Oryzias latipes: one gene and its partner. The protein of the gene in region 1 binds, or shares a complex with, the protein of each later gene. Links are inferred from orthologs where the notes say so. Each region holds a gene or a part of one and is shown on either strand. Other genes may lie near its edges. The genes, in order: lrrc7 and camk2a.

Evidence for each region.
Region 2: the proteins of lrrc7 (region 1) and camk2a are in contact, whole or in part, in a crystal structure (PDB 6X5G), measured with the Homo sapiens proteins. The link is inferred for Oryzias latipes from reciprocal best matches to the Homo sapiens genes LRRC7 and CAMK2A. Residues at the interface, in NP_001357714.1 of Homo sapiens: His843, Gly844, Arg845, Arg846, Pro847, Leu848, Ile849, Arg850, Gln851, Asp852, Arg853, Ile854, Val855; in NP_001350919.1 of Homo sapiens: Glu96, Phe98, Glu99, Ile101, Val102, Lys137, Glu139, Leu159, Phe173, Ala174, Gly175, Thr176, Pro177, Gly178, Tyr179, Leu180, Ile205, Gly209, Tyr210, Pro211, Pro212, Phe213, Trp214, Tyr222, Gln224, Pro233, Glu236.

Annotation. Positions count from the first base shown.
Region 1 is NC_019862.2:17,794,676-17,803,013, forward strand, and holds the start of lrrc7 (leucine-rich repeat-containing protein 7), read left to right. Parts: upstream 1-2,881; 5' UTR 2,882-3,226; coding exon 3,227-3,251; intron 3,252-8,338.
Region 2 is NC_019872.2:23,211,694-23,219,486, reverse strand, and holds part of camk2a (calcium/calmodulin-dependent protein kinase type II subunit alpha), read left to right. Parts: intron 1-1,742; coding exon 1,743-1,785; intron 1,786-3,601; coding exon 3,602-3,642; intron 3,643-4,815; coding exon 4,816-4,864; intron 4,865-4,991; coding exon 4,992-5,067; intron 5,068-5,187; coding exon 5,188-5,282; intron 5,283-5,365; coding exon 5,366-5,594; intron 5,595-5,760; coding exon 5,761-5,764; 3' UTR 5,765-7,793. UniProt on the Homo sapiens protein: Calcium/calmodulin-dependent protein kinase that functions autonomously after Ca(2+)/calmodulin-binding and autophosphorylation, and is involved in various processes, such as synaptic plasticity, neurotransmitter release and long-term potentiation.

The DNA of each region.
Region 1 (8,338 bases):
TCTGCAGGCTATCAGAGAGAAGAATGACTTGCAGTGTGATACAGTGACAGCTTCCCCTGTACTCCTAGTTTCTCCTTAAATTCGGGCAGTCTTGGAGAATCCCAGCACTGCCATCTGGGTATGACTGAAGCTCCGTCTAGGTAAAGCCAACTGGCACCGGGGAGGACAGTGTGTCACTGTTACAGCAAAGTGAAGGAGAACCACCCTGTTAGGGGGGTCATTTTAAGCCACAATAAACATTATTTCCCTCTTTTCTTTTTTACATTTCATTTATTTTTAATTTGTGCCTTATAACATTTCCACATCCTTTACGTGTTTGGTGGTCTGATGCAGCCGTATCACTTGGAGCGTTGCGTCTTCTTGGAAGACGATCTTTTTTTCTTCAGTGGACAGTTTTGGGCACGAGGACGTTGAGTAGATCTTTGAAGGGTCCAAACTGCAGAAAATCCTGCCAAAAATGCAGAAGGGTAAAAACACTGTCAACATAAAAATTTGGCTTCACCGTCTTGTCAATTCTATTGAGATGGAAGGGATTATACATATTAGAAAAACAGCTGAGCTTGTTTGATGCCATCTGGCAATCTGTCGTTCAATATTTACAGAGGATATCAGACTCTGTGCTACATCAAGGTTTTTTTTCCTGGTTCCCACCCAAATGTCGGATCTTCTTTCTCTGTTTTCACTGCTTGGCAAGTCTGGGTTAAATACAGACACGACTTTTCCCTTAAGGGGTATTTTGGGTTTATTAACAAAGAACAATAATGAGTTAGAGATCACTTATAACTGTGGAGAACTTTTGAGCTAAATGGATTTTTTTTCTCTGTGGGAGTAGAAATTAATGAATCGTGTTTATAAAAAAACAAAACAATTTCTTCAAGTAAGCCACCTCAATGTCCTACATTTTCCTCCCTCTGACGGGAAACCGTGGCAATCAATCCAATACCAACAACTCTGAAAAGGCATTAAGCTTTTGAATTGGGAGGGGGTTCAAACCCATACCTCCACAATTACTGTGACTTTAACCTTTAAAAAGTTAAACTCCTGTGACTCTATGTATCTTATCTTGCTCAAAGATGCAGGTAATTAGACTTTATCTCGGTCAGTATCCGAGCAACTGCCCCCCCTCCCATCTCCTCATCTGAGCACACTGTGAAACTGAACTTTGCATTGCTGCACCCCAAAACCAAGCTGCAACTAATTTAAGATCTCGTGTACACTGAATGTCTTATTTTCTCATTTATATGTTTTTTTCTTTTCATGTTTAGTCTTTGCTGTATTCCCTTTTGTACTGATTCTGCACTTTGGTTATTTATTTATTTATTGGGTATTTATTTGGTGAATTGAACTGAGTGGCTGTTGTTGATGCTCCAAACGTATTTTCGTTATTTCACTGACAATGACAAATAAATCTTCTTGAATCTTGAATCAGGTGAGGATACGCCTCATACATCACATGCTCAAACAAAACAGGCTTGCACTGAGCTGATAAGGCTATTTTATAATCACCTATTACTAAATTGACAGTGTATTGATGGTGTTTTCAAAAACGTTTTTACAAGAAAACCGGAACACTTAGACAAAATATTGTGGAAAACAACAAAAGACAAGAACAAATGCTGCACATTTCTGTGTTTTGTGGGCTTTTGAGTCTTTAGAATAACATCTGATCCTTGCAAGAAAAATCTGTATTCACCCACTGCTGGTGTGTCTTTTTTAACTTTTGATAAAAACACATTAACCCTTTATCACCACTGATTTAAACAGAAATCTCGGTCACTCAATACTTCAGAGATATTTTTGCACTATATAAAGTTCACCTTTATGATAGTTCCTCATAGGACTCATTTGTTAAACACAGAAGTCATAATCTGGACTGTTTCTTTCTTTAACATGGTAGCAGTGCATGGATCACATGGAAAGTATATGAAAACAGTCAGATAAGAAGAAAATATCATACAAAAAATGCTTGTACATATTCAGTTATGCAAAAACTATAAACAATATAGTCTTCGTGCTCCATCTTAAACAGACAATGGTTAACCATATAAGATCACAAATAAAAATGCAAATGTACATGCAGTCATCATGCAATAACACTTACTTTTGGATTTTTAAATTATTCTTTGTTGCAATAAGATGATTTTTAATATTTGTATATACTGCTTTTAACCTTTATTTATCCCGGCAAGATGGAAGAACAATATTTTCAGCTGTGGTCTGGCAAAAGGCGAGACATTTAGAAAAAGGGACAGAAAAGGGGTTACAGGAAACGGACAGAAAACATCAGCGAGAAATTTCGAAACACCTGGTTTAACTAGATTATGAAAGGCAGTGAATGTTATGTGTTCTATATTGTTTCTCTCTTTTTTGGAATTACATCTACGGAACCCTTAACATAAAGGTAAAAAATATAGCAGCCTCATCATAAATTGCTCCTTAAAATTGGTATTGTGTGCACAAATTTCTATTTTGTTTGCTAAAATAGCTTTTCCCCTCCTTTTCCTCTGGTTTCAAAAACATACATTTTTTTTTACATCTGTTTAATGATACTGCGTGTAAAATGTTCCTAGAGGAGATTTTGCTTCATACTTCAGGTTATTAATAACTCGAGCAGCTCGTGCAAACATCTTCTCATAAATTGAGCTGTCAAAACTGGGCTATTTTGGTTTGAAAGAAGAAAAAAACCTCAAGAGAGATGAAAGAAGCAGCATGGCAGCGGCCCTAAAAGACAGGCTCCGTCTTCATTAAACAACACCCGCACAGATGAAATATTCATCCCTCTCTCCCATGAACTCATAACACGGTTATTGGTGCGCACGCGCAAACGCACCTGCTCTGGCGTCCCGGTTGCATCTTCATCCCTCCCTCTCTTCTTTTTCTCCGCGGGGGACAGATGGGAGGAGACGGTCCTCCTGGACGTGCAGCGGGGTTTTCACGGACAATGTTCCCTTCGTTTCCCCGCAGCTTCGCCGTTCGTGGACCGAGGAGTTTGGAGTGGAGGCTTCGCGTATGACTACTTGGATTTAAATCAGGAGACATGAATCTCCCGTAGATGCGCTCATCTCTTGCTCCCCGGGGGACTAAAGATGCGGGTACCTGTTTCACACCGGCTCGGTTCGTCCCGGTAGCCTGATCCTGCTTGATGCTTCGGAATCCACAGGGGCCACCAGAGAGATTGCATTTTTTTTCTAAAGGAATCGGATCCCCCCTCCCAGCATCCTAACAGATGGATAACTACTCGGCTTTACAACGTAAGGCAGCTCTGTCAAACGGTTTTCCTCATTCAATCAGCTCTTAATGAAGAACAAAATGTCTTCTTTTCTCTGAATTGCACTCTTAAGGGTTAAAGCAGCATATTGTGATTTTTAAATGCAACAATTTAGAGGAAAAGATGGATCAATGTTGCCCCTACATTTGCAGTGCTTTAATTTTTTTTTTTTATTGTATTCTTGCACCAAAAAAGAAAGCCATTCATCGCTTTACGAACCTTCATCCTCGGACCTTTTCAAGCTATGATCACATGAAACAACTATATCTGCAGCAGGGGGGACAATGATATATGATGCAGTGCCTCCCCATCTTGACATGTAACCCCAGGCTGCTCTGCTGTCACAGCGCCCTGCGTTCATGCATTATCTACATGCACACACCTGTTAAATCCACCAGCCGCATGTTTTTTGGCTTATTCCCCCACCCGTCCCATTATTTGTCTGTATCAGCCTGTCACACCTGTTACAAGCTTGTAATGACACAGGCGTTTTAACCATCCAGCCCCAATGCTTCACTGCTGCACTTAAACATTTTATATTATCTGAATCTTAATCGCTCCAGTTAAAGTGGATGCTGTATAGTGTTGGGTGCTCTTCTTTATGCCACATATTAGATTGCACTGAGGCGTGCATGAAAAAGGAGCATCAAAGAGAATGTTAAATATCAATCTTCAATGCAAAAATATTTCAAAGTCTTTCATTCTGTGTTGCTCTAACGATGACCATTAATAATTTGCTTTTCCGGAGGGATTTGGATTCCCACTTAATAGCCTTACTTTGTATAATTTTGCAAACACTCAGGGAGGAGTTGTCCTATTTGTCATCTTTGGACATGGATTGTTCCGCATGCATCTGCATGTCTCTGTGAATTAGAAATATATAGTTGTTTGTATGAATACACAGGAAATTCCTCTTCAGTGTGCCATCTTTTAAATGTCCTTTTTTTATTACATTAAGGGTACAAAGAATTTTTCTTCCTTTCCTTTCATGTAGCATCTTGACTTTTTTATTAGGGATAAAACAAATGTTTTAATGTGTTAAAAAAAATCCTTTTATAAAGGGGTCTATTGATTAATCAACATCAATGAATCGTATTTATCTCTGAGTAGCACCGGTTGAATTTTTTGGCTTAGGATGTCCTGAAGCTGAATGAATTAGATCGAATCGTGTCGTTAAAAATTAACCAATATCGACTATGCATCATATCAGCAACCACAAAGTATGATATTAATTGAATCAATAAAAGTAATCTTTCAATCATTACACAAAAGTAACTTTTTTTGCGTTAACTTCAGCCTCCCAGTAGAGTTTTTCCAAGAATGCATAAATCAATAATTTCTTTGCTAAATTCAAGAAAAATATTGATTTAAGAAAAAAAATATTAATACAAAGATGATGGAGCATCTCATATTGAGCTTTCTGTGTAATACAGTATTGCACCACAAGCTGATTGGTCTTAACAGTCAACAATAACTCAATATGCACTTGGCTGAGATTCATTTTGGAACAAGTGTCTTTACCAAAAATTAAAAGTTTTGTTCTATAGAAGTCATTCTGTTGTCTGTCAACAAACAAACAAAACCAGAAAAATGGACTAAAGAAATAATGTTTGACACAAACTTGGGTTTTCAGAATGTATTATCATTTAATTTCTCTTCTAAGAACAGATCTCCTCAAATATCTTTGACAGAATAAAAAAAAAATCATTAAGAAATTGTTAAAACATTAAGTTAGTTTTTATTTCAAAAAAGTTATTTTGCAGATATAAACTGTTGTCTCTGACTCTAAATAAACACAAAATAATTATAAACATTGATGCCCTTAAAATAGAAGCTTTTGTTTTAGGTTTGCTGAGTTATATTTGTCTAATTATCAGTTGTGCTTCATCCTTTATGAAGCTTTTATTAAAAATCTGGTGATGCAAACGTACCATCTGAAACTATTAAAACACACTGTTTTACAAACCTTATTTTATAAATCCTTTCCACCTCCTTCCAACTCAAGATGATTTGCGTGATGTTTTGCATTCCAGAGCGGAGTGAAATGCACAAGGCTTTGGATCCTGGACAAGATAAATGCATTAGCACTTCCCCTTCAGACAGCAAGCCTGCATGCAGGCATAGTTGGAGTGTTGTTTTGGGGCTTTTTGCTGCTCTTCCACTTAAGCTGTGACAGGACACTGCTGTTCCTGCTGCTGCTGCTGATGGTGATGCCGCTCGTTGCCTAGTGACTGTATCCATGGAACTGGCTCCCATCGTCATGGTGATGGGCTAAGGGATAGATATCCAGTGAGGGAAGGAAGACAGAGATACCAGCACAGCTGCAGTGTGTGTTATGATGAGGATTTATGCTGATATTTTAGGAGAAGGGATGAAGGTTATGGTGCTTTTGTTTTGACATGAGTTTGCAGTGTTGTTACATTCTAGAGTGTGATATTGAAAGGTCTGGTGAGGAGGCTAGTTTGGTTCTGAATCTTCATGATCATTTTTAAAACAAATATGTGTTTTGTCAAGCCTGCTGTTGTCAGAGTATGACCAAAATATCAAGTCAGCATCTTAATGGGAAATTTTCCATTTTAATCATAATCTTTGTACACTGTTGATGGATAAAGGCATAAACTATACATATGGTGCATGTAGCCATTAAATCATAATTGCAGGACTTCAACAACTAACACAGATGATCTACAACTAGTGTGACTAGTGGTTTAAATATTTACATTTATTTGTAAATCTTTATCTTTTTTATTTCAATTTCAAACACTTTATTGAACTAAAACACATTTTTAATAATAATTGATACTTTATTTATACTTTATTTATGTATTATTTATAAATTAACTGCTATGAAATGAATAGAATATTTTCACATCAGATTGTCAGCAAGGTAATTTTTTTTAAAATCTTATCCTGAAAACATTTCTGTTAGGGAGTGCATTGACATTTTACAGACAGCTTTTGGGCTTTTTATGGAAATGTACCGTGGTTACATCTTATAGTGGCTTTTGTCTTTGTTGTAGTTATGAAATCCATTAAAATTACAGGAAATGTAAACGGCAAACAGTTTTACGACTTGACAGAGTAAAGCATACATTTACAGCCAAGGGGAAGACCGTAGAATGAGGAGACAGAAACATTATCCTCCTTGTCACAGTACATACTGGGTTGTGGGTTTGCACCAACTGCATAAGCTGCTCTAAACTTGTCTTTTAAAGGATACATTTATCCCCTCACGTTTTTTTCTTGTACCAAGTCTCAAAATCTTTTTTCCTGTTTTCAATCTGCAAGCATGGATTTTTTTGTGTGGGGGGGTGTGGGGTATATTAACTCCCTCTTTTAGTCTTGGTGACAGTGTTTCTATGGTTACATCATTGGCAGTGTTGACTTAGATATTGCATAGATATTTGGCTCAAAATTGAGCTTTTAGGTTGTTGATTCTCAAAAAAAAAATATTTCAATCTCTTTTTGTGTTTTTCCCTGATTTTCTCTCATTGTCAATTTGTGCTTCTCAGGTGCAAAACTATGTGATGTCTGTTTGGGTTACTGAGACTAAAATCTGAGACAAAAATATTGGAGGACAGAAAAACATTAACTTTAAATCAGTTGATGAATGAGTGTTGGTTACAAAACTTGAACACACAATTTTCATTTTCCTGAAAAGTTTTTGCTGTCTGCAAAAATATAGTAAGTGTTGTCATGTTGAGGTTTGTTACATTATGTCGCTTTTTTTTATTTTTTTATCTTCACACCCTTCAGTTAACGGGTGTCTTTAACAGTGGTCAGAGTTAAATTATAGGTGAGATTTGAGGGCAAAGGTTTCATACACGCTGCTTTATGCTAATATTTGTTATTCTTGGATTAGATTTACTTATTAAATATCCCTCAAATCAATATCAAAAATACATTTATAGCTCTGACAGAATTATTGGCTTTTTATAAAGCTGTTGTAGATGTGACAATAAGATCAGTTGGATTTCACTGGCTTTTCATTTAAAATAGGGTTTTTTTTAATCTATGAGCTTTAATTCTGTTTTGGCTGCTCTCCAGTTTTGTGGTGATTACCACATCAAACCAATTTGGGATGTTAGGATACATTTCTAGATGCATCTAAGCTCAAACCTGTGACTTGCTTCGAATAAGACAGTGTTCCACATACCAGGGAGCTTTTACCAGATTAAATTGAATAAAAGTTGGATTATGAAAATCCCAAGTGATTTAATGTTAATCAACAACATTTTTACTGTGTTCAGAAACATTGTCTAATAGCGGTAAGTTTAGCTGACTCATTGGAATGTTTGAGACACTACTATTTAGTGGAGATTTGTTGATTACATTTTTTCAGAAATTTCCTGGGAAAGGGTGAGTTCATTGTGAAATAAAGTGTTACTTATTCTGACCTACATTTCAATTCTTATTACTTGATCAATTATTCATATTGAAGCTAGAATAGAAACAATTTCTACTTGCAGAACTGTCTGTGGTCTGCTTCCACTAATTATATTTGTCTTGATTTTATGATTCTTAACCCCTTCATTCCGTATGTCACAAATTTTCGACATACCATTAGATCCAGAACTCCACTTAATATAGAATCCCCTTGAACAGGAAAAACAAAACAAAAACATAGACGAATATTTTTTATAAAATTGGAAATAAAAGCAGGAGAGAAGGGGTTAAGACAGACAACAAACCCATCTTTAGAAAAACAATAATGTTTCTGGTCTGTTATGAATCCAACTGAAATTTGTGTTATGTTTAGGCTGCATCTTTAAGCCAAAATGTAAACCAGCAGGGCTCCAAAAAATAAGCAATCCTTAAAAATATCTGACCATAATTGTCTTTGCCCCTAGGCTTCTTTCAGACTCGCATTGTCCACATATGTGATTTTATCAGACAGCATCATGGTGGAGAACTGTTTTTTACATTTGCAAGAATACTCAAGAAGTAGTTGACCTTTCATTGACAAGGAGGAAGGCGAGATATTCCACCAAGTTTGAAGCTTGAGATAATGCAGCTGTGCAGAAGCATGAAAAGTAGGACAGAGTGATAACACCACAGCCTCATAGGAGA
Region 2 (7,793 bases), on another chromosome or scaffold:
CCCGCAGCCAAAGCGGATGACACCCAGAGCGACCGGGGGCCCCAAGAGGGCTGTCCCGTCCCGCCCCAGAGCCAGGGAAGGGCCGATCCCAGCCCCAGGTGTAGGTGGGAAGCCCATCCAGCGCCGCTGGGCCCCCCCCCGAGCAGCGCCCCCTGCCAACCCCCCCCAGCACAGGCAAAGGGACCACCCCCCCAAGCCAAGCCAGACCACCACCCCACCCCCCCACCACGCACCCCCACACCCAAGCCCAGAGGACCACGCAGCGCCCCAGCCCGCCCAACCCAGGCGCCGGACCCGACCCCCCGACCAACGGAGCCCCCACCACCCCCCGCCAGGCACCGGAGGCCCCGACCCCCACCCCAGCCCACGGCAGAAGGGCAAGGAGCGGCGACGACCAGGCCCCCCCCACCCCCTAAGTCACGGAGTTAGCTATGGGAGACCAGAGAGACTGAGTTCTTTCAAAGTTACTTGAACCTTGGGCTGACATTTTTTCCAAGCTGATATGATCAAGCAGCAGATTTCTGTGTTGACTTATATTTATATTTTTCTTGCTTTTCCAATTTATTAAAATAGTTTTTTTAGCAATGCAAAGAGTTATGAAAATGATAGAGCCTAATCCTCCTTCTACATCGATGGCACTCATGTCACCAAGCACACAAAGTGACGGTGAAGCTGTGATTGAAACCTTAAGCCAGACTGATAGATCGGCACATACCTGCTGCCAGAGAGCCTGGACAGGCGTGCAGAACCACAGTGCATGCATGTAATTGTCGGGTAGATTACTGTCACAGTGCTGACAAATGTCTGAGTTACTGAGACCCATCTTGAACATCCTCTGTCCAGTGTAGTAAATTCTGTGAAGAGTTTTGAAATGGATTAGCTGCAGATTTGGACTTTTTGTCAGTTTAAAGGTGTTTAGACAAAGTTCTGACCAAAAGCTTTCATCTGTGCTGATGCTCAAATCCGCATCCCATTTTGTTGTCGGAAGTGAAATATTATTATCTAAGTTACATAAAAGTTTGTATATTTTGGAGAGAGTTTTATTCATTGTGAAATTGATCAGAGTGGTAACTACATCTGGTAGCTTTAAATCGTTGTCTCTGTATTTAAACTTTTTAGTAATAATTGATTTAAGTTGCTGATATTCCAAGAAGTTATATATTCCATGTTTGTCTTGAAGTTCCTGGGGAGTTATGAATCTTCTATCAATAATTATGTGCTCTAGTTGTTTTATGCCCCCTGCTTGCCAAGCTGGGAAGTGGATAATCTTTTTGTTTATGAGGATGTCTGGGTTGTTCCAGATGGGTGTCATTTTGCACGGTTGAATTGATGAATGGTTGAATTAATTTGTTTCTGAATGCAAGGGATTACACAGAAATTTTCCATTTAGATTGGTCACTTATGCAGGCCATAATAAAACCTTTTTCCTTGTTGTATGGATTTGGACTGAATGGACGTCCTGTTTTTCTGCTGGAAATCCTGCACTGATCAGGTTGAGGATAGTACCTGTTCAGTGCAAGAAGCATGAATCGACTTTCCGTCATGGCAGCACTTTAGTGTCTCAGGTGTTTGAAGATACAGTATGATATGAACATGATAAAGATTCATCTCCCAGTTTTTTTTTGTTTTCTTTGCAACTCATTTTCAATTCTCTCCATTCTCACTGCTTCTTTCCTTCCTCCCCTTCTTCCTTTTTTCTTTGTTTCCTTTGTCCCCCTTTCTCTTCTTCCTTCATCTCTAAGGGGGCCATCTTGACCACCATGCTGGCAACCAGAAATTTCTCTGGTAAGTTGTTGGTCTCAGCCTGTCAACATATGTGATCCAGTTGAAAGACCACAAGTCACCGGTTTCTGACCAGGTTGGGTTAAAGTCAGACAGTTCCTAAGGCCTTCATCACAACTGCCCTTATGAGTGGATATGAACATAGGCAAACCTGTACAGGGCATGATGCGAGTGACAGGTTGTAGCTTAATGCTAATGGATAATGGAGTTTCTCATAGGAAGGCTAATGCTAACGCTCATTCGACCTAGACGCACATTGTTGAATTTTCCAAACTCTTTTAAGAAAACATTTTTTTTTAAATAACCATTTGTGATCTAAAGCACTGCTTTTTGCTCAGTCTTCTGGAATAAAGTTTAATGCTATAGCGCGAGCTCCACCTAGTGGCCAAACTCAAACTTCTTCCAGGAGAGGCAGAACATACTGATCTGCACTTTTTGTTGGCGTGTCTCCAATTGAGAAACCGTGTAACACTGTATGGTGCTAACAATCTCATTGGTTTATTATTTCACTAATACATTTTACAGTCTGTGAACTGTATCAGATTAACATGAATATCTTCAAAACATATGTAGATTATTAACGTATTTCAATACAAATAAATCTGCCCTTACAGATGGATAAAATGGGCAAACCACAGCAGGGGACATGCAGGTGTCCCCATACAAAATTTTTAAGATCACGGCACTCGTGAAGCTCATGGGCCTCCACAAACCACAAAGAACTTCAACAGCACATGTACGGCTCAACTCCCACACAGAAGCATGTGACCAAGGCTTAAGACTACTTTTTGAACTAAAAAACAACAACAACAGAACAAACCAAGAACTTTAGCATCTGAAGTAAAGCTGGTCACGTAACCTAAGAGAGTCAGGTGATTTGAGAGAGTTGGTGCTCAATTGACATGAGAGTGTGGTGACATAGCTTAAGAGAGTCAGTGGATCAAATGACCTGAGGGGATCAGGGGCTGGTTATATAACCTGAGGAAATCAATGGTCATATTACCTGAGAGAGTTGGGCGGGGTGGGGGGCATGATCTAGAATAATAAGGGAGTTAGTGACTTGAGGGAATTGAGGATGACATGACCTGAGCTATGTGACATCTGCCCTTTGACTTACTGTTTCAGTAGCATAAATTTAGGGAAATAAATCAACCAATCAGCTGGCAGCTTACACTTGATTAACAGGTCAGGGCTCTTTGTGTGTGTGTGTGTGTTTGGTATGCAGCTGCTGCATCCCCAATCCAAAAATAACAGGGAAACCCTCCCACACTGACTGTTTGTGTGTCCACTGAGAAACCCTATCTGGCCCCTGCACATGCTCAGTGGCATCCCCTTTGGTCCTACACCCAGACACCTGAGTACATTGTCTTCATGCCATCTAGAAATACCTGCAGGAGTCTGAATGCACAGGTCCAGAACTGGACTGAGAATCAAGATTAGATCCGAATTGGTTTAAACTTGGCCATAATCAAAGGAAGATTGCTGCAGAACTCAACACTACACAGCTCATCAGAGGGGACGACGTGTGTCGCAGCCATGCCCGCTCAGGAATGTGCTCCTCAGCCCCGGAGTCAATCCTAAATTTGGCCGTCAGTCTCATAGACCCACATGCTGCTCTGGGAACTCCCCTTGTCCATCTGCAGCCAAAGCTGAAACTGTTGCTTGTGCGCTACCTGCTGCTGGTTCTATTCTCTGAGGTTTGCTGGATGCTCAAAGGCAGCAGCTGTCAGTGTGATGCCGTCGCTCTTCTTCTCTGCATTTGTTCCTTTCTTTCTGACTCTAGTGCTTCTCTGTCTTTTAATCCTTATCCCTCGTTCAGGGGGAAAAAGTGGAAGCAACAAGAAGGCTGATGGAGTGAAGGTAAGTGCTGGATCAACATTGTGTGTCAGAGTGTTTGTACCTATGTCTGTGCACACAGTAACACAACAATACAACTTAACTTCACTGAAATTATTCTAAACAAACATCAAGACTTCTGGGAAAATGTCTTCTTTGATCTCATTTCCAAAAAGGAAAAATTAGATAAATATCCTCCAGAGCCAACAGACAGAGCGATAACTCTACCTTCTTTTTTTATTTTATTTATTTTACTTTCATTTATTCAACAATGAGGAAATTTTTCTCCGCATTTTAACCCATCCCCTGGGGGGAGTGGTGAGCTGCAGACAGCTCGAATTGATCCGCCAACCCTTCGGCTGTTAGACGACCCGCTCTACCGCCTGAGCTAAACTGCCACCCGCCCTTTATCAGAGCGGATGCAAGATAGCAGCTGTTTTTAGTCTCAACAGAGGATCTATTACTTACCATCAGTTGTGTTTTTCTATTTTTGCCTTTCCATATGAGAGCATTAGGACTCACTCATACTTCCGGATTAACACATTTAAAATCAGGCTTATCAATCCTCATTGTTTAATTGGATTATAAACACTAACAACACTGCAATAAAATACATACAATGATGTTTTTATATGCTTTAGAGTCATAGTCCTATTCACCCATTCACACACACATTCACACACTCTAGGCTCTGTTGCCTAGCGCTGGTACCAACCTATGACTACCAGGACCAATGTGGGGTTCACTATCTTGCCAAAGGCACGTGCACTGTTGGATCGTACATGATGGGTTGTAAATTGATGGAATTGATCATAGATTCCAGATCATGCAGTTTGGACCAGATCATGAATTATGGATAACTGATACTGGAGCATGATATAGATTTATAGATCATGCATGATGGATTATGGACAGACCTGTGGATGGTCGATCATAGATTACTGAGTTATGGATTGTTGACAGTGGATAATGGACTGAACAACAGTCTACACACAATATGTCTGCAGTTTGAGTCCCTGTTAAAGCTTCCACACATTTTAGTGCTTGAACTCAAACCCACCCATCAGTAACCCATAAGATGAATACTGCACCTTTAGAGAAGACACACAGCTGGCTGAATGTTTCAGTGTTGTCATTGTTGTGTCTTTGCTGCCATTGTTGTGCTGTTTCATCAAAGGTTTTTCATTGTTTTTACAGGAGTCTTCTGAGAGCACCAACACTACAATTGAAGATGAAGACACTAGAGGTGAGTTCACCAAGACCTGAGGGGCATCAAATGACGCAGCTGATGATGCATCCACAGTGATCTTAACATATGTTTGTGTGTGTGCGTGCGTGCATGTCTTTCACATCTTTGTTTGTGCACGTCTCAGTGAAAAAGCAGGACATCATCAAAGTGACTGAGCAGCTCATTGAGGCCATCAGCAACGGAGACTTTGAGAGCTATACGTATGTGATGAGTACATTCTGATGCTTACTCTAAACATCTCTGACAGCTTGTTTAAGGTGTATTTTCTCTCTTCCATTCAGTTCAATCTTTATTTGATTTTTTTGTCCTCATTGCTACAGTAAAATGTGTGACCCAGCAGTGACTGCGTTTGAGCCGGAAGCGTTGGGGAATCTTGTTGAAGGCCTGGACTTCCACCGCTTTTACTTTGAAAACTGTGAGCTGATTCAGACTTTCTGCCTGGCTGTGAGTTGCAAGATTCTGATTGTTCACCTAAGTAGCTGTATGTTTCTGTCATAGTGTGGTCAAAGAACAGCAAGCCAGTGCACACCACCATTCTGAACCCCCACATCCATCTGGTGGGCGACGAGGCCGCCTGCATTGCCTACATCAGGGTGACGCAGTATATCGACAACAATGGCACGCCTCGCACCGCCCAGTCAGAGGAGACCAGGGTGTGGCATCGCCGGGATGGCAAGTGGCAGATTGTCCACTTCCATCGCTCTGGCTCCGCCTCCACACTCAACAAGTAAATCACAGTCCAGTTGTGTCCGACGAGTATCTTGTTTCCATCCTAACGGTGCTGACCCGCCACAAAGCAGGGGGCACTGCAGCTCCCCACATTACATTTCTGTGTTCAAAATGGATAAGTATCTTTCATGGTTTTTAGTTTGATATCTCTTTTATCCTTCCAGCTAACTCCAGTCCAAAGTGGGCGGGTCTTTGATGGGCCGCCGTTGCTTTGGCAACAGGCCAGACATCTGATACCAACAGTTAAGGATTTTGTTTGAGCAGTTGGAGGAGGAGATTACTGGGCTGGAAAATCAGACTCTTCCTGCAATGAACCACATCACATCCAATTAACCAATCCGCTTTCTCCTCTCAACAATAACCCTCTACACACAGCCAATCAGCTCCCTTGGTGTAGTTTAGCTGCACAGCACAGGTCATGTTTATGTTGGAAACCTCGTACCTCGTACAGGACTGGTGCTACACTGCAGCCCTCCTGTGGTCCGAACCTCTTTGTCCCCAGCATGTTGTGGAGGTCACACTACTTTAAGGAGTTCACTACTACAAGGAGTTTACCTTCATGTTCTCTCATCTTCATCATTAACAGTGCTCCTAAGCTCACCTCCAAGATTTGCATCAATAACATCCTGATCGAGGTGATTCCAGGTTTCCTGCAGCTGAAGCTCATCACCAACCAATCATGTCTATCTATGTCATTATGCTCTAACAACAGTTGCCATGGTAACCCAACATATTTTAGATCAGGGGTGGGCAGCACAAGTCCTCGAGGGCCACTGACCTGCTTTTTATCCCTTTTCCCTGCCCCGTTTGCTGCTGATTACCTGGATCACGTGTTTCCAGCCAATCAGAGGCTGCAATACCACAATTGTTTGTAAAAGAACTGGGAGGTGTGGAGCTGCCCACTCCTGGATGGACCATAAGCATCCATTTCTTCCACAAAGGTCAGCTGAGGGTTGAAGATTTGATGTTCTTCAGAGGAACAGCCAAAAACAAAAAACGTGTTTGACCTTTGAGCTGCAGATCTCCAGGCTTTCAGGAACCTGAACCTGCTCATTCTGTAGATGTTCATGTTCACAATCAGACAGACCTTCACAGAGCTCAAAGAACTGATGATCAGTGGAAGAGAGTCTGGATGTTTGGAGGAGAGATATTCACTTACAGAACTTTTGGTTGGTTAAATGATCTGAACATTGCTTTTGGGAGAATCCAAAGCTGCAAAACCTGTCCCGAGCTTTGATTGGAGCCTCTGAAAGGGTTCATACGAAACATTCATCTTCTAGAACAGCCGTTTGATGTCTCTGGGTGATGCAGGAACATCTACAGTGATCCTGAGATCATACAGTCTAAAGGTGGATAGGTGATCCGTGACATCACCCAGACATCCCTGCGTGACAGAACTCGTCTCTTCCATCAGAAGCTCCAGAAGCTTCCACCTCTCTCTTGCTTGCGATCTTCCATGAACAGTTTATACTTTAGCTGACCCCTCCCACCCCACCAAGGTGTCATGACAACAAAGCCAGCTAACGAACTGAAATGTTTTTTTCTTTATAACTGAGGGGGATGAGAAAATGGCTCCCAAATCCACTGCTGGCTGTCTGGACAGCTCCAGAACCAACAGACTCCCTTCCTGTTTCAAATCAGCGACACAAAGAAAATCCCTGCAACATATCTCCTTGTCACCTGTGACTGGCATCATCATGGAAATGGACAAAATTTCAGAGGGACCAAAGTTGACCAAGAAAACGGCTTGTGCAAAAGCACATGTTAGATATCTGCAGGTCAGCAGGACCTTAAACAAACACACAAGAAGAAATGCGGACTAAAATCCATCACAAGAGCTCCATCATTCAAGCACAACTGAGTACAGGGGTGTAACACTGAGCTTTAGGAGTCAAATATGATCTACATAAAGGTTTTGGGTAGGGGGAAACCCAAACAATCTGTGGCATGATACGAAGGAATCCATGGTTCTTCTGACAACATACTCTGCAGGTCTGTTTGTGTCAAGAGGACGACTCTGGTGAAACTCTTGCTGTCAGTTGGGTCCAATGCTTCTGTATCGAGGAGACACCTGCAGTTCTGGAATCCTGAGCTCTGCGGTCCCCCATCAACAGAGACGGGCAAACTTATCTATTATTTTCTTCCTTAGCAGGGTAGCTCCTTCATGTCAGCATGCCTGTGTGTGAGCGGGATGGGG